Linked DNA regions of Canis lupus familiaris. The protein of the gene in region 1 interacts with the protein of each later gene in a pairwise test. Links are inferred from orthologs where the notes say so. Each region holds a gene or a part of one and is shown in the gene's direction. Other genes may lie near its edges.

Region 1 (4,149 bases):
TCCATAAACCCTTGCCCCTCAACCATGGTGACCACAGCAAGAACACTGGATTTAGAGAACAGAAATAAAGAAGCTAGAATCCCAGATACCTGCAATTCTAGTTGAAGCCCAGATCCCTAACCTGAAATGAGTTTATCCTATCTCTGGGCTAGAGAACCCCTGAAACTACGTAGGAATGAGACCTCCCTGCAAAACGAGAGCACCTACCTACTGCCAATCTCTTAAATTCAATATATCCAAGGTCAGCTACCCTAACCTCAGCCATAACCCCCATAAAACTAACCCTAATCCCTAATATTAACCCTGACCCTAATTTGGTTCCTGTTTCCCAACACTGGCTTTGACATTCATCCCTTTCCTGGCAGACACCCGTCCCCAATCCTTGATCCCTAATATTGATCTACTTTTTACCTCTAGGAATGAATTTCCTGACCTTAACTCTAAATGTTGATCTCTAAGCCTAAAACTGTTGTCTCACTTGACTTCTGATCCATCCCTTCGCGATTTATCCCTAGTTCCATGCTAATGTTCTCTAATCCCTAAAAAACTGGACTTCTAATTTAAATCCTGTGTTGACCCTTAAACCGGCCCTGAACCCTAACTTTGACTTACGTTGGCCAGAAACAGAATAATGACCTAATCCAAACTCTACCTACATAAAACGGACCCGACTCACACTGGTAACTCTAAATGTCAACTCCGGTTTTTAACTCCGTAAGCTAACCTTTAATTCCTAAACCCAACTCTACCTAATTCCCAAACTCACCCCCAGCTTTCCTACCCGCATACTCACTATCAGCTAACCTCAAAGCCGATCCCCGCCCTGCGCCTCACTGTCACCCAACTCCTCACCCTCCCCAAAACTTATTCCAGACAGAGAGGACTTGATCCCAGGAAAGGCTTGGCTCCCTTAAAACGACCTACTTAACTTCCGATCCCAAGCCGAGATACACTGGACGCTGACCTCTCCAACAGGACCCGAAACAGCGGACGCAAGGGCCCCGCCCGCCCTGCCACCCGCGCTGCCACCCGCGCTCGCGCTCGCTTCCCGGTCCTGGCCGTGCGGCCCCACCCTGAGGCTCCGGCTCGGCCCGGTCCGGCCTACCTGCGCTGCCCGGCTCGTGCCCCGCCCGCCGGCCCGATAACCCGCTCGCTCTCCCGGTGGTAATCGGGCTTCGGCCTCGCCCTCCCTTCGACACTCTCTCGGCCACTTCCGTCCCCGGAACGTCCCCCACCCGCGGGCGGCGCCCTGGGCCCGCGCTCTATGGTTGTGGGGGCAACAGGAAGCTGCTCTGGCCCCAGCTCTCGATGCTCGGGAGCCGGCCTTAAAAAGGCGCCCCCCCCCGCCCCCCGGCCGGCTCCCCCGGCAGGAAACAAGGGTGCGGCGCAATCCGGGAAGACGCCCGAACTGCGCGCGAGTTCCCCTTTGGTCTCTAACCCTTCCTTTTTTTTCAGCCTGGGGCCGAGGCGGAGGCGGCCTCCCAGATTGCCCGCCCTCAGGGTGTGAGGAGGCCGCAGGGACGTCCCCTCTATTTGCAGAGCTCCCGGGACGTGGCGCGCCGCGGCTAGGCCACTTCCGCGTCGGAGGGAACTCCAAATCCCGTGGTGCCTCGGGGGTGTGCGCGTCACTTCCGTGGTGTTGGAAGTTGCGGAGAATCGGGTCTTGGGGGCTGGTGCAATTTCAGAGCGACAGGTCCGGGCTTGCGGATAGGTCTCTCTGTACATCTTTCCGGTTGTTATCCGGTATGGAGCTGGCGTTGGACTTGGGTGACCAGGACCTGCTGGATTTCCTGCTAGAGGAAAGCGGCGATTTGGGGGCCGGGCCGCCGCTTTCCGAGGTGGGTGGGGGCTGCGAGCCGGGGAGGCGCGGGGATCCCGGGAGAGCGTTCATGGGGTGGTGGGTAGTTGATAGGTCAAGGCTTGTTTATTTGAACCCTGTGCAGGCGTTGAGTGAATGGGAGGCAGAGGATTTCCTGAGTTCCATGCTGAGTCCCCCAGCATCGTTGAACGTCCTTAGCTCCTCTGATTCCTGTCTCGTGCACCATGATCACACCTACTCTCTCTCACAACAGCATGTTTCCATAGATCTAGGTGAGTCTGAAATATGATGAGGAAGAAAGTGAGGTTTGAGGGGAGGAGAGGCTTCGTGGGTCTGGCTATTTATACTTTTCGTTTTGCAGATGGTGGGAGCTATGGAAAAGAAGAGGCCCAGACGACCCCACTGCAAGTGGAGGAGCCCGCAGAGCAGGTACTTGATTTATGGCGGGATCATTCCCACATTGCGCGGGTGGGGGCGGATTCCCCATTCCTTTCTGTCATCCCCTTGCAACTCTGCTGCCCACCTCCTGGTAACTAATCCCAGGAGATTGCTAGGCTGATACTGACAGATGAAGAGAAGAGGCTGTTGGAGAAGGAGGGGCTTACTCTGCATGGGACGCTTCCTCTTACTAAGGTAAGACTCCCATTGGTGGGAGTGAAGGCTGGAGGGATGTGTTGTGGATCCCAAGTGTGCACTTCTGTTAACTTTATGTCAGGAAGGACTGAGGTTAGAAAACTTGGCAAATTTGTTGGTAATAGGAAGCTGGAGCATGATGTTAATATGGTGGATGCAGAGGCAGATCCTGGTTTTGTGGGGCTCATACAAGTTTTGGTGTTTTCTTTGAGAAGAATTCAAAATCATCGATGCAACATTAGTGTAGGGTCTTGGAAGGGACTGTGCAAGCAAACTCATGGTAATCCACCTGTAGCTAAATGGTTAGAGTTCATCAAGGCTGGACTAAGTAATATAGCAAGAATAATTGTAAAATCCCAAGTTTTAAGTTTCAGGCAATGAATAGCAGCTTCACAAGCACAGTATTGTGGTACTGTTGTGAAACCAACACTACAGGAAGGTTGAGAGAATTTTCTTAAAAGTACAAGATGGGTTAGTTTGAGATGACAGAGAGTGGGGTTTGAAGGCTGTATCAGTAGAGGTGTTGCCTCTAGAAGGGCAGTGACCATCTTCTTCTCCATTATACTGGCCAGAGCACATCTTAGTGTCTAGTTTTGAACCCAGATCTTTGACAGATATTAAGAGGATGCAGTCCATCCCGAAGAGAGGTGAGAAGTTAATTTTTTTTTTTTTAAGATTTTACTTATTTATTCATGAGAGACACACAGAGAGAGGCAGAGACACAGGCAGCGGGAGAAGCAGGCTCTATGCAGGGAGCCCGATATGGGACTTGATCCTGGGACTCCAGGATCGTGCCCTGGGCTGAAGGGAGGTACTAACCTGCTGAGCCACCCAGGCATCCCGAGAAGTTAAAATTTTTGCCCAGATCTTTTAACTCTGAAGAAATGTTAAATGGCTTAAATTAAAGACTGTTCATTCTGGGATCCCTGGGTGGCTCAGCAGTTTAGCACCTGCCTTCAGCCCAGAGCGTGATCCTGCAGACCCGGGATCGAGACCCACAGCAGGCTCCCTGCGTGGAGCCTGCTTCTCTCACTGCCTGTGTCTCTGCCTCTCTCTCTCTGTGTGTGTGTCTCTCATGAATAAGTAATAAGATCTTAAAAAAAAAAACAAAAAAAAAACCTTCATTCTATATGGTCTCAGAGATAGGTACCAGGTAAGTTCAATTGATAGAAATCATAGAGGCAGATGTCGGTTAGCTTAGGATAAGGAAAATTTAAAGATTTTTTTTTAAAGGTTTATTTATTTTAAATCTTTTTTTTTTTATTTTTATTTATTTATGATAGTCACAGAGAGAGAGAGAGAGAGAGGGGCAAAGACAGAGGCAGAGGAAGAATCAGGCTCCATGCACCGGGAGCCCGATGTGGGATTCAATCCCAGGTCTCCAGGATTGCGCCCTGGGCCAAAGGCAGGCGCCAAACCGCTGCGCCACCTAGGGATCCCGGTTTCCTTATTTTAAAGAGAGATTGTGCTTGTGCATGCAAGCAGCAGGGTGGGGCAGAAAGCAAGGGAGAGAGAATGAAAATCTCAAGTGGACTCCCTGTTAATCACAAAGCCCAACGCGGCACTCCATCCCATGATCCTGAGATCATGACCTGAGCTGAAGTCAAATCAGGAGTCAGACTCCTAACCAACTGAGCCACCCAGGTGCCCCAAGATTTTTTGTTTTGTTTTTATTTTTAAAGATTTTATTTATTTAT
Region 2 (3,428 bases), on another chromosome or scaffold:
TAAGTGCCATGATCTGATCTATGTTTTTAAAAATCCTCCATATGGAGCATGGACTGAGCAAGGTTATCAAGACCAGAAGTAAGGCCAGGCAGGTCTCACTCACAGTGAGCAAACTGGCCTGGTGGAACTTGGAACCAGCTGGAGATGGCAGGTGTTGTCTGAGGGAGCAGCCACCACTGCCAGTTGGGACCAGGTGGAAATGAGGGCCCAGGCTGTGAGCTCTTAGTGGAGAGGAAAATCATGGGCTCTGTTCATTCATCGGTAATCCATTCACACTAAACACGCATACTCCCTAGGCCCAGAGGCTCCAGTCTGTAAATGGGGAGAGAGGGCCTGCACTGCAGCATCACTGAGAGGATTACAGGACAAATGGGGTGCAAAGTTTACTCATTAAAGGGTGCCCCACACGCTGGCTCCGCCCCGGGGTGGGTAATTTAACCCACAGCCCCACCTTCCCCATATCATGTGCTTCCCTCCTGACTGCTAAGGGCTGTTGCTCACCTCCTTCTGGGCCCAGAGTGTGTGTGTGTGTCTCTCTCTCTCTCTCTCTCTCTCTCTCTCTCTCACACACATACACACACACACACACACACCAGGGGGTGGGGGACAGCGACAGGGCTTCACAGATCCCATCCTAGGCCGGCATGTAGAAGGTATCCCTCTACTCTGCCCTCAGTGTCTACCCACCAGCCTCCCCTCCCTTCTCCAGAGGGAGAAGGAGCCTCGGGCCAATAGTACCTGGCCTTCCCCTGAATCGCTGGGAATTTAGCCCTGTCCCCTCTCCCTCCCTCCCTCTCTTAGTTGCATTGGTGCATCAGCAGGAAAGCTAAGGCCTAGTGGGTGTGCACTATGCACAGACTCCACCCTCCTCCTCAGCTTCTAGACCACTCATGGACCAGCTGTGGCTCATGGTGTCTCCCCATCCCTTTCTCTCCAGCCCTGCACTCCAGCCACCTAGCCTCCTGTTACTTCCCTGCCCCTGCTGATCTCTTTCCTGATGCAGGTTCTCCAGTATGACTTTTTAGCCAGTTCACCTTGAACAAAGCTCTTCCCAGCTTTGCACCCTTATGTCAGCTATAAAGTGCATTGGTCATCCCCAGCTGGGCGGCAAGAAGGAGGGCAGCCATGAACCCTTTACTTGGCCCAGAGTGGGCATGGATGGCTATAGTTTTTCAAATCACTATTGCATGCAGGTGGCCCCTTCTCCCACCCACCCACCCATATTATTGTCATAGAACTCAAACAACACCATCCTTTCTCTTCTCTATCCCTGCAGGATACTTTTGTGGAACTCTACGGGAACAATGCAGCAGCCGAGAGCCGGAAGGGCCAGGAGCGCTTCAACCGCTGGTTCCTGACAGGCATGACTGTGGCTGGCGTGGTTCTGCTGGGCTCGCTCTTCAGTCGGAAATGACCAGACACTGACCACCCACTTACCCTCCCACCCCTGTCCTGCCCCTACCACACCCCTTTGTCCAGCCACCATTGCCACCAGGAGAACCACTACATGCAGCCTACGGCCACCTTCCCATCACAGGGTTGGGCATAGACCAGGTCTCCCGCAATTAGTTTTCTAGAATCTACCACGCTTCTGTGAGAGCCGCCTTCCCCACACCTCAGTTCTCTGGCCTCAGAACCCACAAGGTTTCCCCAAAATCTGCCCCATGGAAGCTGGCAGGTGTGGGGGTGTTTGTGGCTGGGGGCTGGAGTCCCTGCCTAATTGGTGGAAAACCCCTTAGCCTCACCAAGAATGCTTTCCTGCCAGGTAGCTGGAAAGTTTCTGACCTTTTTCCCCAGAAGGAGAGACTAGATTGCCTTCGTTTTGATGTTTGTGGCCTCAAAATTAATCATTTCCTATCCCTTCCAGAACCTAGGCTCCCCTTCCTTTCATCCCTTTCAAGAGCCACTTAGGGGCCACTTCTGACTAATTAGGGATTCAAGCTGCTTGGGATAAAGAAACAAGGACCAGGACCTCCTCCCCACCTCTGGCCTGGCCAAAGTCCTTGACCCCAATCCCAATGTCCTCCAAAGGCCCCTGGATAGAGGCCAGCCCCACCCAGGAGGAAGAGGGCTGTAGCTGCAGGAAGCACCCCGTGCCAAAGCTGGGGTGGCCCTTGCAGTTTAGCACCACCCCAGTTCCTTTCCCCTTCCCCTCCCTTGGCTCCCATGACCATGACTAAGGGACCAACTGGGCTCAAGGCAGGTGCCCCAGAGCTGTTGATGGCTTCAGCTGCCTGACTTTCCTGCAAGAAGATCAGCGTGTGGCATCTTTGCCTGGAGCTACTTGCCCATGGAGCCCAGGGATTCGGGGGCCTTGGCCCAGAGGTGAAGGGGAGCTACAGGGAGCAGCTGTGGGAGCCCTAGAGTCTTCCCTACCTCAGGCAGGAAGGGCAGGAAGGAGACCCTGATGCACAGGGTGGAGGTGGGGGTGGCAAGAGGGGCCAGACCTACCTGGCCAAACAAATATATGCCCCACTCCCATTCAGCCTGGGGTGCCAGGCTGCCAAGGTCAGAGTGGCCTGGCCAGGAGTCCTTCAGGCCTCCCTCTCCTCTACTCCACCCATGGCCTGTCTCATCCCTGGGGGTCCCGGCCTATCCCTGGCCATCCTGGGCTCTCTGCTGTACATATTTGAGACTAGTTTTTATTCCTTGTGAAGATGATATACTATTTTTGTTAAGCGTGTCTGTATTTATGTGTGAGGAGCTGCTGGCTTGCTGTGCGTGTGCACGTGGAGAGCTGGTGCCCGGAGACTGAACGGCCTGATGCTCCCTCCCCTGCCCTGGTCTGGGGAAGCCAGCTGGGGGTCCTGGCTCCTAAGGGGCACCTGTCCCCCCCCCCAACTCCCCCCCACACTTGTTCCAGCTCTTTGAAATAGTCTGTGTGAAGGTGAAAGTGCAGTTCAGTAATAAACTGTGTTGACTCAGTGAGCAAAGGGCCTGGGCTCTTGTGTGCCCTGGGCTGGGGAAGGAGGGGCTGTGCGGTTGGCAACAGGGCTGCAGGGGAGCTGCGCATCACTGCTGGCTCTGCTGCCTTCAGGAGAGGGCCTTGGACAAGTCCCTTCTTCCACCTGGGCCTGAATTTCTCCACCTATTCTTTGATGGGGGTTTTATTGAACACCTGCTGTGTGCTAAGCAATGGGTATGTGGGAGCAGGATGGATGGATGGACACAGTCTCTGCCCTCAGGAACTGACATTCTAGGAGAAAAAACAGCCACTTGGCAAGTGTTTACTGAGTCCTGCTCTGCCCAGGCACACTCCTAGGCACTGGGGATTCTACAGTGAACAAAGCCCTTCCTTTATGGAACTCGCATTCTTGGGAGACAGACAAAATATAAGGATGAGACAGTCTGGCTGTTGGAGGGCAAAGGTAGAAGCTAAATGACCATAAGGAAGAAGGACAAGACTTATGAAGGACCTAGTGGGGAAG
Region 3 (4,212 bases), on another chromosome or scaffold:
AATAAGTTGCTCTCCAGTGGACTCCCACGGGATGTTGTTCCTAAATCTAATCATTAAACAAATATTTACAAGATGCTTACACAGATGCTTATACTGCTGGAATTTAGACCCTTCCATGACTGTCCTTCCCATCAGACTGAGGTGATGTAGGGTATGACTGTAACCGATTCATCTTGGTATCACCAATGCCTTGACATCATGCCTGCCACTTACCAGGCATTACTAAGAGCTGACTATTTGCACCAATGAAGCAGTCGACTGGAAAAGCCCTGTGCAGGGAAGTGTAAAGTGTGAAGACAGGGCACCTCCGTTTCCTCCTCCGTGTGAGAGGGACTAGAGAGCCTCCTAAGCCCATGACAACTCAAAGTTTTAGGACAAATTGGGCAGCCAGTCCGGCTGACTGCTAAAATCAGTGAACCAAATGTAAATCCTGAATCAGCAGAAACACTGATACAGCTTTATGATGCATGTCCATTTGGGGATAGTCTTTCCCTTTGAAGAGCAAACTCTGAAATTACATCTCCAAATGCAAAAAATAATTGCACGCAACTGATTGCCCTTTCATCAGGCCTTTGTAACTGGCAAAGGCACTTGCGTTTGAGTTGGGCGCTAAGCTAGAACCCAGCTTTGGACCTCAACCGTCAACTCTGGACCTCACCGCTTGCTCTCTGCACTCAGGTTGAGAAGACATGATTGTAGTGAGGGGAGACTGCGGTGGAAGCAAGAGACAGAACAGTGAAGAAGAAAAAAAAATGGAGCCGCTTCGTTTACAACTTATTCAAGAAGGCACATAACTCCAACTCAGAAACGATTTCAAACCAAGAGAAAGTATCTATTCGACCACGACGGAACAGAGAAAGGAGAAACTACTAGTCAATACAGCGTACCAGGTTTATGTAATTCTCTGATAATTTAGATTCTCATTTTCTAGCACGCAGGAAACCGGCCTCATTCTCCTTTATACTTCCAGAACCTAGTGGAGTGGCAGGCAACATTTAATCAATGTTTCTTGAACCGAAATGGTTTATCTTTACGAGAATCCAAAGGGGAGGTTTCATGATCCCCAACCTAACACCGGAGGGAGCTGACGCTCCGACAGCCGACCCGCCCAAGTTCACCAGGCTGGCGCCGTGATCTATCCCTAGGCTGGCTGGGTCACCTCCCCTGGGCGCCACCGCAGGCTGAGCGGGAGGCGTCGGTCGGGTCCTGCCTCCCCGGTTCCAGCGTCTCCTCACCCCGGGCGCCCGGCCGCGCTACCTGGAGCACACAGTCCGACTGCAGCAGACAGGCGCCCAGGTCCTCCTTCACGCCCGCGCACGCGCCGCCCTCCGGCTTGTCCTCGTAATAACGGGGCATGACTGCGTCCCCGCCCCAGCAGCCGAGACCCGCTGGCGTCCGCAGCCGCAGCAACCCCTGTGGGGCGCAACGGACACCCGCGGAGGGAAGGAACCGGAACTTGCAGCCACAACTTCCGGCGGGCCCCCGGAAAACTACGGGGCCCGAGAGGCCGCGCGCACGGCGGAAGTGGGTGCACGTGACGCGCCGCGCCCCCTGCGCCGGCTACGTTGCGGGAAGGGAAGTCGGCCCGGCGCCTGCTGGGTCTGGCTGCTGGGCGGAGGTGGCGGGTTAGCTTGGACCTCTTGGAGGCCGCAGGGCGGCTCCAGGTGAGACCCGAGGACTGCTCCGTGCACGCGCGGCTCGGGCTCGCCGGCGCCTTTCCTCCGGCCCTTCAGGGCGCGCCGGCCCTCGGCCCCGGAGTGACCGTAGCCGCGTCCGGCGGCTCGGCCTGCGGTAGGGCTGCCAGATAAATAAGCCAACGACGCCCGTTTACGCTTAAATTTCTCATGAACGACCGACAGCGTGTCCGTGTCTGTCCCACCCAATGTTTCGGACAGTCTTCTACTGAAAGTTATACTTGTATCTGAGATTGATTCGAATGTAACTGGGCGTCCTGTGTTTTCATCTGCTAAGTATGGCGACCTTCCCCGCAGCCCCGGGGTGACGGGGAGCCTCTGGAGCCGGCGCGGCGCCGGGGGCGACCGGGAGGCCTGGGGGCGGGGCGGGAACTGGGCGGCCGGCCTGTGAGGGCTGGACGGTGAGCCGCGCTCCCCGGGCTCCAGGCTGGGTCCACCGGCCTCCCACGCTGCCATTCCCTCTGCTGAACTATTCACGGAGTAATGCACTATGGGGCTTGAATCTTGTTTTTATATCATATTCCAGTGAAAGAGTTGCTTGGTGGTCTTGCACTGATGGACCCATGTGAACATGCCATTATTTTACCTCGTCGGTAACATTGTTTCTAATTGGCTTTTAAAACCGATTCCCTTAAAAGGCCTGGTGGTTTAGAGCACGGGAGTTTTGGCTCCATAGTCCTCTCTGTGCTCCTGAGGGGGTCCCTTCACCTCCTAGTGCTTTTCTTTCTGCCTCCCTCTCCTCCCTCCCTGTGGTTAACAGTGACTACTAGGGGGAGCTTCCCCAGGCTTGAGAGAGGTGAAGCGTGGGAAACCTACAGACCCCGTAGAAGTGCTGTGAGGGTTCGGAAGGGACAGTTCTTGAGCCCCCAAATAAGCCTCAGAACCACCTCCATTAGCTTTTGACCCCTGACATTTACCAAGGATTGGGGCGGAAATGTAAGATGGCATCCCTCCTGAATATCTCAGAAGAGGATACAAGAGGATATCCTTGTAAAAGATTTTTTTTTTCTTCTATCTAGGAAGATGTTACCGAGTACTTCAGTGAATTCCCTAGTGCAGGGGAACGGAGTGTTGAATTCCAGAGATGCAGCAAGACACACGGCTGGAGCAAAACGCTACAAATACCTGAGAAGACTTTTTCGTTTTCGGCAGATGGACTTTGAGTTTGCTGCATGGCAGATGCTCTACCTATTTACTTCCCCACAGAGAGTTTACAGAAATTTTCATTACCGAAAGCAGACAAAGGATCAGTGGGCCAGAGATGACCCTGCTTTCTTGGTCCTCTTAAGTATTTGGCTCTGTGGTAAGTGTCAGTTTTTCTGTAATAGAGTTGAAGAACAGACTGGTTTGTTTTTGTTTTTTTTTTAAAAAGATTGTATTTATTTATTAGAGGATGCAGGGAAAGGGACGGATGGAAAAGGAGAAGCAGGCTCCCCACTGAGCAGGGAGCCCAACACGGGGCTCTATCCCAAGACCCAAGGTCATGGCCTGAGCCGAAGGCAGAAACTTAATCAACTGAGCCACCCTGGTGCCCCGAAACTTAGTGTTTTAGATTGTACTTGTCCTTTGCAAAATCTTTTGTTATAAACATATTGTGGGTCAGGATTTAGGATATTTGAAGCTGTTTCTTCTTTTCTGAAGCCTCAAAAATCTCACAGGAAAGAGTGTTGTTTTTTCTGGTTTCGAAGGTCCCAGGCAGATGCCAGAGTAAATTGTTTCTTCGGAACATGGAAAAGCAGAAGACAGAGTCACTCCGTGTCTTTTAACTGCTATGATAAAGAAGTTGATATCAAATGCAAACTAACTGTGAAAAGGACTATCAAGATGGGAAATTGCATTTCACGGGCAAATCTAGAGTGAGAGTGCTAAAAGTACCAATGCAAACTTGTGAAACTACTTTTAAATTCTCCAATAATGTAGTGAGAGAGTCCTAACTACCTTTAGGATATAAATGTATAAGATTTTTTTCACCTTTACCTGGGCTTAAATATGTGACTGCCTTTTCAGAACCTGTCCTGAATTTATCACACAAATCTTTCTTTCAGTGTCCACTATAGGATTTGGCTTTGTTCTGGACATGGGATTTTTTGAAACGATAAAGCTTCTCCTTTGGGTTGTATTCATAGATTGTGTAGGCGTTGGTCTTCTCATATCAACTTTAATGTGGTAAGTATCATAATTTGGATTTTTCAAGTCCTGCTGTAGAGCCTGCATTTGCTTCCTTTAGAGATACAGTAGCTGATGTGCACTGAAAGCATGAGTTTAAATTTTTTTTTTATCATTGAAATATAGTTGACACACAATGTTACATTAGTTCCAGGTGTACAACATAGAGATTTGAGATGTATATACATTATGATATGCTCACCAAGATAAGTGTAGTTACCACTTGTCACCTTACAGTGTTGTTATAAAATTGACAGTATTCCCTATGCTGTACTTTTTATCTCTGTGTCTGATTTATTTTATAACTAGAAGTTTGTATCTCTTAACCCCCTCCACCTATACCACCCATTCC
Region 4 (3,500 bases), on another chromosome or scaffold:
ACCTAAGTGACCTGTAACTGCCGTCTTTTGGGAGATACATAGGATTTACTGCCTTTTTTTTCCCCCCTCTCCATCTAGCATGTATCTGCTGAACTTCTCTTTTGTGAGTGACACAGAGGGGAGATTGAGAATACTTGCATTAGGATAATAACCGACGCAGATTTCTTTTTTTTTTCTTTTTAAAATTTTATTGATTGATTCATGAGAGACACAGAGAGAGAGGCAGAGACACAGGCAGAGGGAGAAGCAGGCTCCATGCAGGGAGCCCGATGCGGGACTCGATCCCAGGACCCCGGGGTCATGACCTGAGCCAACGGCAGGTGCTCAACCGCTGAGCCCCCCAGGCGTCCCCACAAAATGTCTTCATGCCATTTTTCATTAGCTCTTTCCTCGCCACATGACTTTAGCCACTGCCCTTCCTCGTTGGCAGGTACCTCACCGCTGTCTGGTTTCCGTTCATTTTTATTAAGTAACCACTCGACAGTTATTACTGAAGTATAATTTATATACCTATTCTCAAGGCTCATGTAAATAAAACATAGTATTAGAAACACCTGTATTTCTGCCAGCGTCTACCTTTATTCAAATGTAACTTACCAAGGGATTAGTGGAAATTCAAAGTGATTTTTAATGTCATGAAGAAGGCAGTGGTGGCTTTAAGACCTTGTATTCGCCGAGGTAGGCACCTACTAGCTGCGGCATCCCTTATCTTTTGGTGGATGTAGATGAAAGTGAATCATTGTAAGACAAAGACATCCAAAAGGTGTTTCCTGATAGAATAAACTTAAAAGGAAATGCTCGATTTCACGTCTTTTGTCAGTAGAGAACTCAAATAGGAATGGTGCTCTGAAAAGAAATTCCGTATTTTTTAATGTTCTCTTCTTTATTTAAGCTGGTATTTTCTCATTTTATCTCATGGTGCATGTTAACCTACTGGTGCGTCAGTATTACTTAGATAATATACAGTGCTCTGTGTTGATGATTTTTTTTCTTCCTCTTCAAGACTCAACGATGAGGCACGACGGCTCATTGCTGAGTTGGGGAGTACGTCTATTACTAACCTTGGTTTTAGAGACAACTGGGTCTTCTGTGGTGGGAAAGGCATCAAGACAAAGAGCCCCTTTGAACAGGTTAGTGTCTTCTCTTAGACTTTCACAATTAACGGACAAAAGGAAATTGCGTGAAACCGTGTGGCGTGTATATTCCTCTCCTGGTTATTTGGCCCTTTGACAAAGCAGCCATTAAGTGTGTTCACGTATTTTTCGGAAGCTCCTGGTAATCAGGTATTTGGAATGCCCATGGCCCTGTTTTAAAATCAAACCTGAAAAATAGTCCGATTCTGTTCTGCATGGGAAATTTTTCCCTTCTGTGACACAGTTCCCGGCATATATGTTTGCTGCTGTCACGGGCCATTTAGGAAGCGTTCGTCACTAACGAGTCCAATCAGGCTTTTGACTCTATAATCTGCTAAGTTTAGAAATATTCCAGAATGCGGTCGAATGTAGGCCTGACCGCTGTGTTGTTCTTTGGGCTGTTCCTCGGAAGCCTGCCCGGCCCGAGGGTTCTCGTTGCCTGTCTGGCGCCGTAACATGTGTGGCCTCCTCGCGGCCACGGGTGTCGCAGAAGCGAGTTCACCAAAGCCGGTGACAGGAGGCAAACTGTTCATAAAGCGTTTTCTTCCTTTAAACCGTGTGTATTGGGAACCCTGGGTGGTGCAGCGGTTTAGCGCCTGCCTTTGGCCCAGGGCGCGATCCTGGAGACCCGGGATCGAATCCCACATGGGGCTCCCGGTGCATGGAGCCCGCTTCTCCCTCTGCCTATGTCTCTGCCTCTCTCTCTCTCTCTGTGTGTGACTATCATAAATAAATAAAAATTAAAAAAAAATTTTTAAACCGTGTGTATTACTGTATTCCAACAGCACATAAAGAACAACAAGGACACAAACAAATACGAAGGATGGCCCGAGGTGGTCGAAATGGAAGGATGCATCCCCCAGAAGCAAGACTAACGCCGGGGACGCTGAGGGAAACGCACTTTCACTATTCCTGGCAGAGCTGAGACGGAGAAGCCACGTGTAAATACTCCCGGAGCATGCAGCCATCTCGATGTGTGCATGAGCATCATCCCTTTTGATATCAGGATTATTTATTGCTGACGTAAATAGATGCCTTTGTAAATAGTCATCATAATGAGCAAATCACTGAACCATTTCTAAGCACATTTCCCTAATAATAGTAGAGTGTTAGACGCCTGCAGGAACGACGGCCTTTATTCTGGAGGCGTACCCGGTGCCACCTGAACAGAGGGTGAAAAACATACTGATACATAGACTGGTTGCTGTGAAAACCTATCGTCGAGTAATAAGGATTTTGAGGAGGAGACTTTCTTTTCTATATGTATATATATATATACGTTCATGTATAGATATGTATATATATATATATGTATGTTGCCTTTTAATGATAGTATCTTTTAAATTAAAAAGATGCTTGGCTAGTTGCGTGTGTGCGGCGTTATTTTGCAGTCTGACTCTCTGGCATACCTATTTTCTTAGTGTTTCTCTTCTCTTCCCAAAAACCTAAGAGTAAATGATATGAAAACCTGTATCAGATGTGTGAAAAGCACAACAACATGTTTTTTTTGTTGTTGTTTTTCTTTTCTTTTTTTTTTTTTTTTTAACGTACCCAGTAAAAAAGGAACTCTGTAGAGGTAGCTGGTGTTCAGGGCTGGCGCAGTCTGGGTTTTGAGTGGGCAGCGTGAGTAACTGGATTTTACAGACCTGCGTAGCGCGCGGCCCCCAGGACCCCCCCGGGAAGCGGCCGCCTGGCTTCCCCGCCCGGACCGGCTGCTGGGGGACAGTCGCGGCGGGGGCCGTGGGGCAACGCTGGCAGATGTCTCCTTGCCTGCTTGTTATCAGCATTGGCCAAGCGGTTTGGAAAGAGGCATGCTTTAATATCACCATCATTTTGATGGTAAACCAAGAAACACAATTCTGTAGTTACTTCATCTAATTTCGTAATAGTTTTTGCCTGAAGATACGACGACGTATGTAGGAAAGTCTTCATTACTGAGTGGACTGATAACATTTAAAAAAGTGATTTTGTTTGACTCCAGATGACTTCATACCCAGTTCTGCATAAAATTTTGTTCATTTGAGATGTTCACTAAATGACTCTAGTTTATTTTGTTTTTGTTTTGTTTTATTGTTGGGGCATTAAATACCTACGGTGTATGAAGTATCTTAAACTGGAACATAAATTAATGATCAAACTACTCACCATAAAAGGCAGCACTTAAATTTTGAATCTAAATTTTAGAAAACTTGTATAAAAAAACCTAAAGGCAGTATTTTTATTTTGCTGTAAACCAACTTGGAAGCTGTTCAGCTATTTCTTAAATATTAATGAACTTTGGGGTACTGGTTCTTCTCTCAAACTGAATGTAATTCAAGGATAAATGCACCTTACACATTTAAAAGAATTTTTGTGAACTTTTCAGAC
Region 5 (4,032 bases), on another chromosome or scaffold:
GACTTCTTGATGGGAGCAGGGCGGGGGAGGCCTTGTCCTAGTCTAAGGCCTGGGATTGAAAAACTGCCTGAGGGAGCCACATAAAGAAAGCATGTATCTGGGCTTGCCTTCCTTGCTTCCCCAGCCCTTCCTGCTAGGAAGTGGGGGGGTCCTTTCTCCCTTGCCCTGCGGACAACCCCCAGCAGACAACCCCCAGCAGAGTCTTGACCTCGGAAACTCCCTTTCCCCATCCTGTACTCCGCACTCTCCCTGGCCTGGCTCCTGCAGCCCTCCTCCCCTGCCCCGAGATGGTGTTGGGGGTCGCCTGGAGTCCAGCTGGTGGCCAGTGCAGAGCCACCCCTTTCCTGGCCCTGCCCCTCCCCATGACCCCAATCCTCCGCCAGCCACTCAAAGGCGCCTTGTTCTCCATCCAGCCCCCAGACAAAAGTCCCTCTGTCTAAAAAGGCAGAATTAGGGGGAGGGGGCACCCCAACGAGGACCATGTGGGGGCCTACACAGACCCCAGCCAGAAAGAATGCCATGAGGAGGAGGGGCAGGAGGGGTGAGGGAGGGAGGGGGCCTTGCACCACTGAGCAATGGCCTTATCCGGAGTGGGAGGCAGCCTCCACCCCAACGCCCTCGGCCTGGACCCAGGCATCTGGCTCCCAGCACCCTCGGGAAGAGCCCGAGCTAGGAAGGTCTGCCGATGCTCAGAAACCAGTTCCCAATCTCTCCAGGGCACGTTGGGCACTTGGGAGCGAGGTCATAGTCTAAAGCCCGAAGGCGCCCACCTTCCACTCCTGTCACCACCTTCCACCTCATGACCTTGGTCCTATCAGCATCATCTGCTGACCCTCAAGGGGTCGGAAGCAACAGGCGATCTGGAAAGGGACTTCAGATATCCTGAAACTGCCACCAAGCCCTCCTGGACCAAGTGTAGCACACAATCTAAGTGATAGACATGAGATTATCACCCCAGTGCCTCGCCTTCCCCCCACCATTCTTCCAGACAGAAGCTTTGCTGTTGGAGACCTCAACCTTCTTCCTTCCAGGTCCCTTCCACGGGGGCGAGACATTGAAGAAAGCCCCCTGTCCTGATGTGAGGAGCAGAATCCAGCCCATCGTATGCCCCCTCCGCCTACCTGAGGCTGCTGTGACCTTGGGGACCTCAGGGAGCACCCTGGCTGGGAAGAAGGATGTGGGAGCTGTCTCTTTAAGAGCAGGAATGGGGTGAGAGAGCCCCAGAGCTTTAGGGAGTCCGACTTGTTCTCTACCTGCCCAGGTTTGCCTAGGGCGTGGCAGCTGCGGATAAAGGCAGGACTCAGGCTTAGCAGCTGCATTCCCTCCCTTCTCTCCCAGAACTTTCCAAGCCTTCTGGGGAGCCACACAGGTGAGCGGCTGGGGTCCCCTCCCTCCAACACCCTCTTGGCTCTGCCCCCAAACCACTCCAGCTTTCCCACTGATCTCTGTTAAAGACACTAACTAGAACTTCCTCCTTGCAAGGATTTTTCCGGGGAGGGGGGGGCAAGGAGCAGGAGGCAGGAGATTAGACAAAGCATCTTCCATTGGCCTGATCGGGGGTCCCCCTGACCCTGATCATTCTGCCTTGAGGGGACTGGGTGAGTGAGCTGGGACGAGGGTAAGGTCCACATGTGGAAGCGGGGTGCCTGGGTGGATCGCGGGTGTCAGAGTGGACCAGAAGCATCTGGGTTGGGCGTATCTGGGTGGACAGCGTTGGAGAGGGGTGCCTGGGTGGACGGGGGTATCCAGGTGGATCAGGGCCAGATTGAGGGTATCAGAGTGGATGCGTGGGTGGCGGGGTGGACTTGGGGTATCTAGGGATTGAGGAGTGTGGGTCCTGGAGCTTCTCAGGAAAGGGGATGGTGGCTTCCTGGGGAAGCTATAAAGTGGGGAGTTGGGTAGGAAATTCCAGGGACATGGGGGAGTCATTCTGCGTGGGCTTGATGGCCACCGTCATGGAGAGGCCAGCAGAGCGCGGACGGTGGAACCGGCCATCGCACTGGTGTTGGGACCTGCAGGGCAGGGAGGGAGCCTAGAGGGGTGTGCAGAGCCCCCATCTGCAGGCTGTCATCATCTCCAAGTCCTCACACCAACTACAGTCCCTTCGGGAGCAGCTCAGGGCCCCTTCCAACAGCAGCCTGGGCCGGGAAGGGAAGGTGAGGGCAGCCTGCACTGCAGGAGAGCCAGGCTGGAAAGTTTGTCCTGGGGCTGGGGTGCAGCTGAGATCACCCTTAGGTCTCCCCTGTGCCGGGGACGCCTGGACAGGCCCTGGGGATGGGGAGTAACAGAGCCCTCACAGCCGGGGGGACTTGGTGCATTCCATGGGAAGAGGTTTCAGAGCTAGGGACTCTGGGCCCTGGGTGAAGCAGACAGCACTAAGCTGAGTGAGCAGGGGTTACAAGGCCGTGGCAGCAACGTGGGGTGACCACGGTGCCAACATCATTGAGCGGCGAAGATTCTATGAGTGAAGAGCTGAGACCAGTGCCTGGCATGGGGTAACCGCTCAAGTAGGCCCTAGCTCTCACTACGCAGGCATCCTCTCGGGTGACAAAGCCTCACGAGGTAGCTTTATGTATTATTTATTTTTTAAAGATTTTATTTATTTATTCATGAGAAACACAGAGAGAGGCAGGGACATAGGCAGAGGGAGAAGCAGGTTCCATGCAGGGAGCCCGAGGTGGGACTCGATCCCAGGACCCTGAGATCACAACCTGAGCTGAAGGCAGATGCTCAACCACTGAGCCACCCAGGTGCCCACGAGGCAGCTTTAGAGGATAGGTGGTCCTCCTACAGACCTGCGCCCTGAGCCACCAGGCTGTCCTGCCCACACACCCGCTCCAGCTCTTCTCCCCAATCTCTGGGGTCCTAAATGCCTTAGTAATGCTCCCCAAAGCTACGGGCCCCTTCCTGCAAGAAATGGTTGCATTTGAGTCCACTGTAGGGGGTTAACCGCTGAGAGGATTGCCAGGACCTGAGTGGGCACAGGGACAGGGAGGAGTGTGTGAGAACAGGCAGGAAGGAGAAAGAAACTCGAGGTGGGGGTTACGTGGGGGGTACGAGAGAGATGGGTGGTTCTCTTCAGCTGTAGAGAGGATCCTGGGGATGGAGCAGGGAACGTCCAGGGGCTCAGTGAAATGAGGGCTGGGACAGATCACCTCCGGGGGTGCCAGGGGGTGCAATGGGTGAAGACACAGCAAGGTCGCTGGGCAGTGCCCAGCACAGGATGGGTCGGAGGACAGGCGAGTTCTGGCTGTCAGCATTTTGACAGTGTATGCTTTTGGCAGCAGGGCAGGGGCAGGGGCAGGGGCAGGGGCAGGGGCTGGGGCAAGAGCAGGGGCAGGAGCCGGGGCCGGGGCTGGGGCTGGGGCTGGGGCAGGGGCAGGGGCTGGGGCAGAGGCAGGGGCAGGGGCTGGCGCAGGGGCTGGCGCAGGGGCTAGGGCAGGGGCAGGGGCAGGACAGGGGCAGGGGCAAGGGCTGGGGCGGGGGCAGGGAGAGGACATGGGAGGGTGCACAGAGAGATGGGGCTTATCTCAGGCACTCAGGATGGGGGCAGGGTGGGCTGATACCAGACCAGGAAAGGGACGGAGGGATTCTTTTTGCTGCACAGCCCTATCTGGGGAAAGAGGAAATAATGGCTGCCAGGAAGAGCTTGGCAGGAGCTGGGGCAGGGGCAGGGGCAGGGGTAAGGGCTGGGCAGGGGCAGGAGCTGGGGCAGGGGCAGGGGCAGAAGTGGGGCAGGGACAGGAGCTGGGGCGGGGCACAGGTAAGGGCTGGGGCTGGGGCAGGGGCAGGGGGTGGAGCTGGGGCAGGGGTAGGGGCAGGGGTAGGGGCTGGGGCAGTACAGAAACCAGGGCTTCCAGGGTTGTGGAGACAGATGGGACTGGGGCTGCAGCCAGGTGGCTCCTCCCTGCTCTGGCCCCCCCCCCCCCCCCCCCCCCCCCCCCCGCACCTCCACCACCTCCACCCCAGGCTCCAGTGCTCTCCTCTGCACATCCTGCTCTGAGCAGCCTAAGGAGCCAGCTCCGGCCTGAC
Region 6 (3,247 bases), on another chromosome or scaffold:
AGAAACAAACTCAAAAGTAAAGGGAGATGAAACAGGGTTACAGGCATGGGCCTGGAGGTGGAATGGAGAGAAGAATGAGTAGGGTCGAGATAGGAATTATGGGGGGTGAGGTAGGGGATGAGAAAGTGGGGGTGGGGCTATAAGTGTGATCTGGCATGGGGATGGGAATGTGGATAGGGTTAAGTCTCTTGGGATGAGGATGGGTTTGAGTCTGGGGCTAAGCTTAGATTTGGAGATGGGGTTGGGGCAGAGTTTCTTTCTCCAAGAAGTTGGAGGTTAGGTTAGGTTGGAGGATGGGATTAAATTAGAGGTTGGAACTGGGGTTAAGGAGTGGATCATATTTAGGGTTGGGGATGTGACTGGCTTTAGAGCTGGTCTTGATGATGTAAATAGGGCTTGCTTTAGGAATCAGGTTGGGGTTGAGTTTGTGCGTAGAGCTGGGTTATGGATGGGGTTGAATTTGGGGTTAGGTTTGGAAATGAGAATGGGGTTGGGTTTTAGATGGGGTAGACATCACAGAAGGCCTCTGTGCCCTGACATTCCCTTCACCACACACCCATGGCCCAGACTTCCTGAAGCCTGTCTGCTGTTCTTCACTAGAGTTATATGCACCGCCATTTTTGTATTGGTGCCCTTGTTATTGCTGACCTGAATTTGCCCCTGAGAGCCTGTCCTTGTGAACATGTTCTCAGGAGTGGCCAGTTACGTCAGTGATGAGGGTCTGGGTGAGAGATGGGGGACTGCAAACTGGAGTCTCCAATGATGGAAGATGGAAGAAGCCCTGGCCACTTGAGTCACTCTTGGGTCTCCATTTTACCAGCTGTTGTGGGACTGCTGGCTTCATGACAGGGGTCCTCTTCTAGGCCATGAGGAATGGCCTGCACCTTCTACCTGGGCTATGGCACCTTTACCTTATACCTGCTCATTGGTGAGGTGAGGCACTGCTTAGGGCCCATTGCTGGTATGGGAAGAGGCGGCTAGTGCTTGGAGGGTGGGAGGGTCCTGTGTGCCTGCCTGTGTCCCTCAGGCACCCTGATCCTGGCAATGAAGCCCATCACACTGGAGGCCCTGCTCAAAGTAGAGCTCTGTGAACTCTCATCAGAGGAGGATGTGGGCATGTCATGCTCTCCACAAACTTTCAGAATTGTGATTCTCCACTGTTTGCTTGTCTTGGGTAAAAGCTCCAGGCAGGGATCCAGGAGTCTGAGACCCTGCTTGCTTGCCTCTTCCTCAGGACCCAAGTCCAGGCCTCCAGCCCTCTATCCCTTCAGTTGCAAGCATCCTGGCCTCCAGGCCCCTCCTTCCGCAGAGACACTAGAGTTGGGGCCCCCTCTTCCAGAATGGAAGGTTGCAGAACCCACAGGAAAGCATGACACAACCCCTAACTGTCCCCTTTGGCCACATCCCCCCCATTTAACTCACACCCTGGTCTCATCTGTCACCTTCCACCCTGAGGCCCCCAAGCCTCTCTCACACCTCTTCCAGGAAGAAGTCTCCTCTGATGTTGAGGGTTCCAAGGGTGGGAGGTATAGAACCTAAAACAGAGGTAAGTTCTGAACCACCACCCAAACCACTGATGATATGACACCCTCCCCCACCACACACTATGAGGAGAACTGGACCTGTGCGGGGGGAGGACAGGGCAACCAGGAAGGGAGGGTGTAAGGCAAGAGTCAGTTACCCGGAACTGTGTAAAACCAAACCAGCTTGGTTTTAAAGTCTTGAGTCTCTTTCTTGAGCTCAGAGGACCCATCCGCCCAGGTTACCAGCCTCTTCATCTCCAGGACCCAGACACCCAGTGCTCACCTACATGGAGCCCTATCGGTCCTTGGCTCTACTCACTGGCTCCCTGGGCCTGGTGTCCATCCTGATTGCTCTGAGTACGGATTTCTGGTTCGTGGCCATGGGGCCCAGCTTTACATTTCACTCCGGCCTCTGGCCAAAGGGGGTTTATAACAAAGTAGCAGGTAAGGGAGAGGGGTCTCTTGTTGGGGGCGGTGGGCTGCCAGAGGGGCAGGCACCAAAATCTCACCTCCGTACAGACTACATCCGTGCGACGCAGAGCCTCACCATTCTGGCTAGTCTGTCGGTCCTGGTGTCGGTGATCTTCCTGGTCCTGTCCTACATCCCCTTACTGTCCCTTCCAGGCCACGGGCGCCTCATCTCCTCTGTCACAGCCTTTGCTGCAGGTAGACTCTGGGCTGTACTTGGGCACTGGGGACCGGAGTTCCTGCAGAGGGGCTGAGCCCTGTCTCTCCTCTCCATCCTCAGGCCTTTTTGCGATGGTGGCCATGGTGGTCTATACCAGTGAGCGGTGGAACCAGCCTCACAGCCCCCAGGTCCAGACCTTCTTCTCCTGGTCCTTCTACCTGGGTTGGGTTTCGACTGTCCTGTTGCTCTGTACAGGTGACTGTTGCTCTGGGAACTGGAGGCGGTCTGGGGTCTGAGAGAGCAGAGTGGGGGCAAGCGCTAACCTCTCTCTGCCACACCAGGTAGCCTGAGTCTGAGTGCTTATTGTAGAGCCTCCCGGCCTGGCTATGACACCTTGTGAGCTGAAGGCGAGACCAGGAGGAAGAAGCAGTAGTCACAGAAGATGTCGTCAGGAGCCGCAGGCACCCACAGGCCTCCCTCTAGCCCTTACCCCTAGCCCTCCTGAGACCCCTTCATTTGTTTCTTCATCCATTCAACAAAAATTTGCTGGGATCTGGTTAATCTTTCTTTTTTCTTTTTAAGATTTTAGTTATTTATTTGTGAGAGACACAGAAAGAGGCAGAGACACAGGCAGAGGGAAAAGCAGGCTCCCTGAAGGGAGCCTGATGTAAGATTCGATCCCAGGACCCTGGGGTCATGACCTGAGCAGAAGGCAGATGCTCAACCACTGAGCCACCCAGGCATCCTGGAATCTGGTTATTCTGAGATTAATTCCGACACGACATAAACTGAGCTCCAAGGTGGGGACACTAGGCACACAGAAAGGAGTCAGAACCCCCACCTGTGCTCAGGTAGCTCCCGCACACGACTGTGTGGATTCAGGCACGGTCCCATGTCTTTTCCTTCTCTTGCCCTTATCTTTCTCCCTGTTTCCACCTCAAGACTCTCTGTCCTTTCTCTTTCTTCTTTATCTTTCCATCTCACTCCTGCTCTGATTTTGTCACCCTGGTCTTCACTCTGGTCCTCCTTGCCCACTTCATTAATTCACTTACTCCTTCAGCTGGCTTTTCCTGAGCTCATCTTTCCTGCTGGGTCT
Region 7 (2,469 bases), on another chromosome or scaffold:
AGAAGAATCATCTGGGCCCGTGCTGTCCCTGCCCTCTGCAGCCGCTGCTCTGCCCTCAGAGCACTCCTTGCTTCTTTCCATCCTGTTTCTGTCCCTGTCGGCCCACGATGGCAGCGTTTCCGCCGGTATAAAATCCTCAAAAACCTTGTTGTTGTGTTGTTGCGATTCATGAGGCTCAGCCGTGAGACAGGAGGGCCCTGCAGGTCTCTCCTGGATGCTCCCGCTCGATGCCCGGCCCTCCAACCACAGCCTTGCTCTTCTATCCAGAGCCTGCTTTCTCGCGTTTCGCACTAGCGCTAGACCGAGTATTTTCCAAGCGTTCACATTCTGGTTCCTCTGTGCTTGGCAATTCTGTTTTCAACGGCTCTTCCTGGGAGCAAACGGGAGAAACCAGGCTGTGCCCTCAACGCTGCGTGGGGAGGTGTCCTCACCTAAATATCCAAGGTCCGCACTTACAAGTCCCGTTCTACACAGAACGTTGGAATAGGATGTGGCCGAGTCGTTGGCCCCCTTCTGACAAGGCCCGCCTTGTCCGTCCGTATTGTACCGGCAGTCCCATGAGGCAGTCTCGGCCTGGCCTAGCTGCCCCTCGGAATCCTGCAGCCATTTCCCACATGGGGGACCTGTAACGGCAGCAGCCCCCAACACCTGCGGTGAAGATCTGTCTCCGTTTCCTGGGGCAGCTGGGATAACCTACCACACACTGGATGGATTAAACGCCACACATTTCTTGTCTCAGGAATGTTCGGGAAGCTGGAAGCCTGAAATCTAGCTGTTGGAGGGTCACAGCCCCTCTGCAGGCTCCAGAGGAGGGTCCTTCCTGCCTCTTCGGGCTTCCGGGGGCCCCAGGGGATCCTTGGCTCGTGGCTGCATCCCTCCCGTCTGCGCCTCTGTCTGCGCTCAGTCCTCTCTGTCTCGGTGTCTTCTTTTCTGCCTCTTATAAGGACCCTTGTCATTGGATTTCGGGCCACCCTGATCCAGGATGAGCTCATTTTAACAAATCATATCTTCAGTGACTCTATTTCCAAACAGGGTTATATGCGTAGGTGCTAGAATTAGGACCTCAACACGTGTTTCATGGGTTACAGTCCAACCTGTGACGGAGGCCACCCTCCTCCTGCCCTGCCACCTCTGCCCATGGGGGTCAGGTGCTCTCCTCGTCACCGCATTCCTGCGGTCGCCCTCCCAGCTGCTCCCTTCCCCACCTCTGCTCTGTTCCTGCCAGGGCCACAGCCAAGGCCAGCCTTCCTACCTCTTGTCTCCCGCCAGTGGCAGAAAAGCCCCCCTGAGGTCCTGTCGCCTTGCCCTGAGGCCAGCCCCAGGAGGATGCGGTGTCGGTGGAAGTATCCCTGTTCTGTGGCCACTCTTACCCCCTGTGGGCCGGTCCTGACCTCCCCCCCTCAGATCTCAGGTGACCCGGGGCCAGGCCCATGGGTCACCCCTGCTGTCCCTGCCCAGAGCCACGAGCCCGGAAGTACAAATGCGGCCTGCCCCAGCCATGTCCCGAGGAGCACCTGGCCTTCCGCATGGTCAGCGGAGCTGCCAATGTCATCGGACCAAAGATCTGCCTCGAAGATAGGATGTGAGCTCTGTGGGCTGGACGGGGGATGCCGGGGCGGGGGGGAGGGGGGGACCAGAAGCTGGATCTGTGAGGGAGAGTGGAGCGAATGTGCCATCTGAGGGCCCTGCCTCCCCGCTCCCCGCTCCCCCCGCTAGGCTCATGAGCAGTGTCAAGGACAACGTGGGCCGGGGACTGAACATCGCCCTCGTGAATGGTGAGTCCCTGTGACGTGGGATCAAGGTTCAGAGCACAGAAGCAGAGCCAGCCCGTGACCTGCCACCCTGCCCCCGCCCCGTGCTCTCCCCGTGAGCAGGTGTCTGGATATTTGCCTTGGTCTTCCCCCCGCCTCCCTGCTGGGAATGCCCAGGGAGGCCTGGGAAACGGTCTGTGCCAGCAGAAGCTTCCCCAGAAGAAGTGACCCAAGAAACAAAAGCACAGTATCCCTAAAGAACCAGAAGCTTCCAAGAGGTTGGAGGTGCTTCCTAGGGAGCCCCTGGAGAGCCTCCAATGGCACACAGAACCGGCACAGCCTTGGGTGGGCTGCAGCCGTCCGAAGAAGGGGGCACAGTGGGCATGAATATGGAGGCGTGTCTGAAAAGCTTCCAGAAGGTCTGCACCAGTGGCCACCGCTGTGTCCTTAGCTTCACCTCAGGGGGCTGAGGTGGTAGGGTGGAGCTGCCCTGGCGGCTCGCCCAGCAGGACCCCTCTCTCCCTCTCAACCCAGGGGTCAGCGGTGAGCTCATCGAGGCCCGGGCCTTCGACATGTGGGCAGGAGGTGAGTGGCCGCCATGGCCTCCTGCTTTTTGCCTGTGCAGCAGAATGACCGAGCATCTCTCCCCTGAAGCACCGCCCTCTGTCCATTCACTGTGGCTTGAGCACTTGCCTGGGTTTGGGAAAGGCAGGGAGAG

The links.
Region 2: the proteins of CREB3 (region 1) and BCL2L1 interact in a two-hybrid assay, tested with the Homo sapiens proteins (2 studies listed by BioGRID and IntAct). The two-hybrid records come from large-scale screens. The link is inferred for Canis lupus familiaris from reciprocal best matches to the Homo sapiens genes CREB3 and BCL2L1.
Region 3: the proteins of CREB3 (region 1) and UNC50 interact in a two-hybrid assay, tested with the Homo sapiens proteins (2 studies listed by BioGRID and IntAct). The two-hybrid records come from large-scale screens. The link is inferred for Canis lupus familiaris from reciprocal best matches to the Homo sapiens genes CREB3 and UNC50.
Region 4: the proteins of CREB3 (region 1) and FAM3C interact in a two-hybrid assay, tested with the Homo sapiens proteins (2 studies listed by BioGRID and IntAct). The two-hybrid records come from large-scale screens. The link is inferred for Canis lupus familiaris from reciprocal best matches to the Homo sapiens genes CREB3 and FAM3C.
Region 5: the proteins of CREB3 (region 1) and FXYD3 interact in a two-hybrid assay, tested with the Homo sapiens proteins (2 studies listed by BioGRID and IntAct). The two-hybrid records come from large-scale screens. The link is inferred for Canis lupus familiaris from reciprocal best matches to the Homo sapiens genes CREB3 and FXYD3.
Region 6: the proteins of CREB3 (region 1) and NKG7 interact in a two-hybrid assay, tested with the Homo sapiens proteins (2 studies listed by BioGRID and IntAct). The two-hybrid records come from large-scale screens. The link is inferred for Canis lupus familiaris from reciprocal best matches to the Homo sapiens genes CREB3 and NKG7.
Region 7: the proteins of CREB3 (region 1) and FAM3A interact in a two-hybrid assay, tested with the Homo sapiens proteins (2 studies listed by BioGRID and IntAct). The two-hybrid records come from large-scale screens. The link is inferred for Canis lupus familiaris from reciprocal best matches to the Homo sapiens genes CREB3 and FAM3A.

Annotation. Positions count from the first base shown.
Region 1 is NC_049232.1:52,553,895-52,558,043, forward strand, and holds the start of CREB3 (cyclic AMP-responsive element-binding protein 3), read left to right. Parts: upstream 1-1,349; 5' UTR 1,350-1,745; coding exon 1,746-1,838; intron 1,839-1,943; coding exon 1,944-2,091; intron 2,092-2,180; coding exon 2,181-2,248; intron 2,249-2,362; coding exon 2,363-2,452; intron 2,453-4,149. UniProt on the Homo sapiens protein: Endoplasmic reticulum (ER)-bound sequence-specific transcription factor that directly binds DNA and activates transcription. Plays a role in the unfolded protein response (UPR), promoting cell survival versus ER stress-induced apoptotic cell death.
Region 2 is NC_049245.1:21,645,027-21,648,454, reverse strand, and holds the end of BCL2L1 (bcl-2-like protein 1), read left to right. Parts: intron 1-1,276; coding exon 1,277-1,414; 3' UTR 1,415-1,438; intron 1,439-2,841; 3' UTR 2,842-2,928; downstream 2,929-3,428. UniProt on the Homo sapiens protein: Potent inhibitor of cell death. Inhibits activation of caspases. Appears to regulate cell death by blocking the voltage-dependent anion channel (VDAC) by binding to it and preventing the release of the caspase activator, CYC1, from the mitochondrial membrane.
Region 3 is NC_049231.1:45,120,337-45,124,548, reverse strand, and holds the start of UNC50 (protein unc-50 homolog), read left to right. Parts: upstream 1-1,412; 5' UTR 1,413-1,524; intron 1,525-1,530; exon of another isoform or gene 1,531-1,664; intron 1,665-1,754; exon of another isoform or gene 1,755-1,970; intron 1,971-2,713; 5' UTR 2,714-2,717; coding exon 2,718-2,997; intron 2,998-3,739; coding exon 3,740-3,860; intron 3,861-4,212. Other genes in the region: COA5 (cytochrome c oxidase assembly factor 5), read right to left, coding at 1,258-1,356. UniProt on the Homo sapiens protein: Involved in the cell surface expression of neuronal nicotinic receptors. Binds RNA.
Region 4 is NC_049235.1:59,539,127-59,542,626, reverse strand, and holds part of FAM3C (protein FAM3C), read left to right. Parts: intron 1-1,003; coding exon 1,004-1,130; intron 1,131-1,918; coding exon 1,919-2,008; 3' UTR 2,009-3,500. UniProt on the Homo sapiens protein: May be involved in retinal laminar formation. Promotes epithelial to mesenchymal transition.
Region 5 is NC_049222.1:118,298,803-118,302,834, reverse strand, and holds the start of FXYD3 (FXYD domain-containing ion transport regulator 3), read left to right. Parts: upstream 1-1,232; 5' UTR 1,233-1,369; intron 1,370-1,453; exon of another isoform or gene 1,454-1,598; intron 1,599-2,743; exon of another isoform or gene 2,744-2,750; intron 2,751-4,032. UniProt on the Homo sapiens protein: Associates with and regulates the activity of the sodium/potassium-transporting ATPase (NKA) which transports Na(+) out of the cell and K(+) into the cell.
Region 6 is NC_049222.1:106,223,649-106,226,895, forward strand, and holds NKG7 (protein NKG7), read left to right. Parts: upstream 1-1,395; 5' UTR 1,396-1,546; intron 1,547-1,596; exon of another isoform or gene 1,597-1,784; 5' UTR 1,785-1,810; coding exon 1,811-1,967; intron 1,968-2,042; coding exon 2,043-2,189; intron 2,190-2,271; coding exon 2,272-2,406; intron 2,407-2,492; coding exon of another isoform or gene 2,493-2,520; coding exon 2,521-2,732; 3' UTR 2,733-2,747; downstream 2,748-3,247.
Region 7 is NC_049260.1:123,394,522-123,396,990, reverse strand, and holds part of FAM3A (protein FAM3A), read left to right. Parts: intron 1-1,458; coding exon 1,459-1,582; intron 1,583-1,716; coding exon 1,717-1,775; intron 1,776-2,285; coding exon 2,286-2,336; intron 2,337-2,469. UniProt on the Homo sapiens protein: May act as a defensin against invading fungal microorganisms.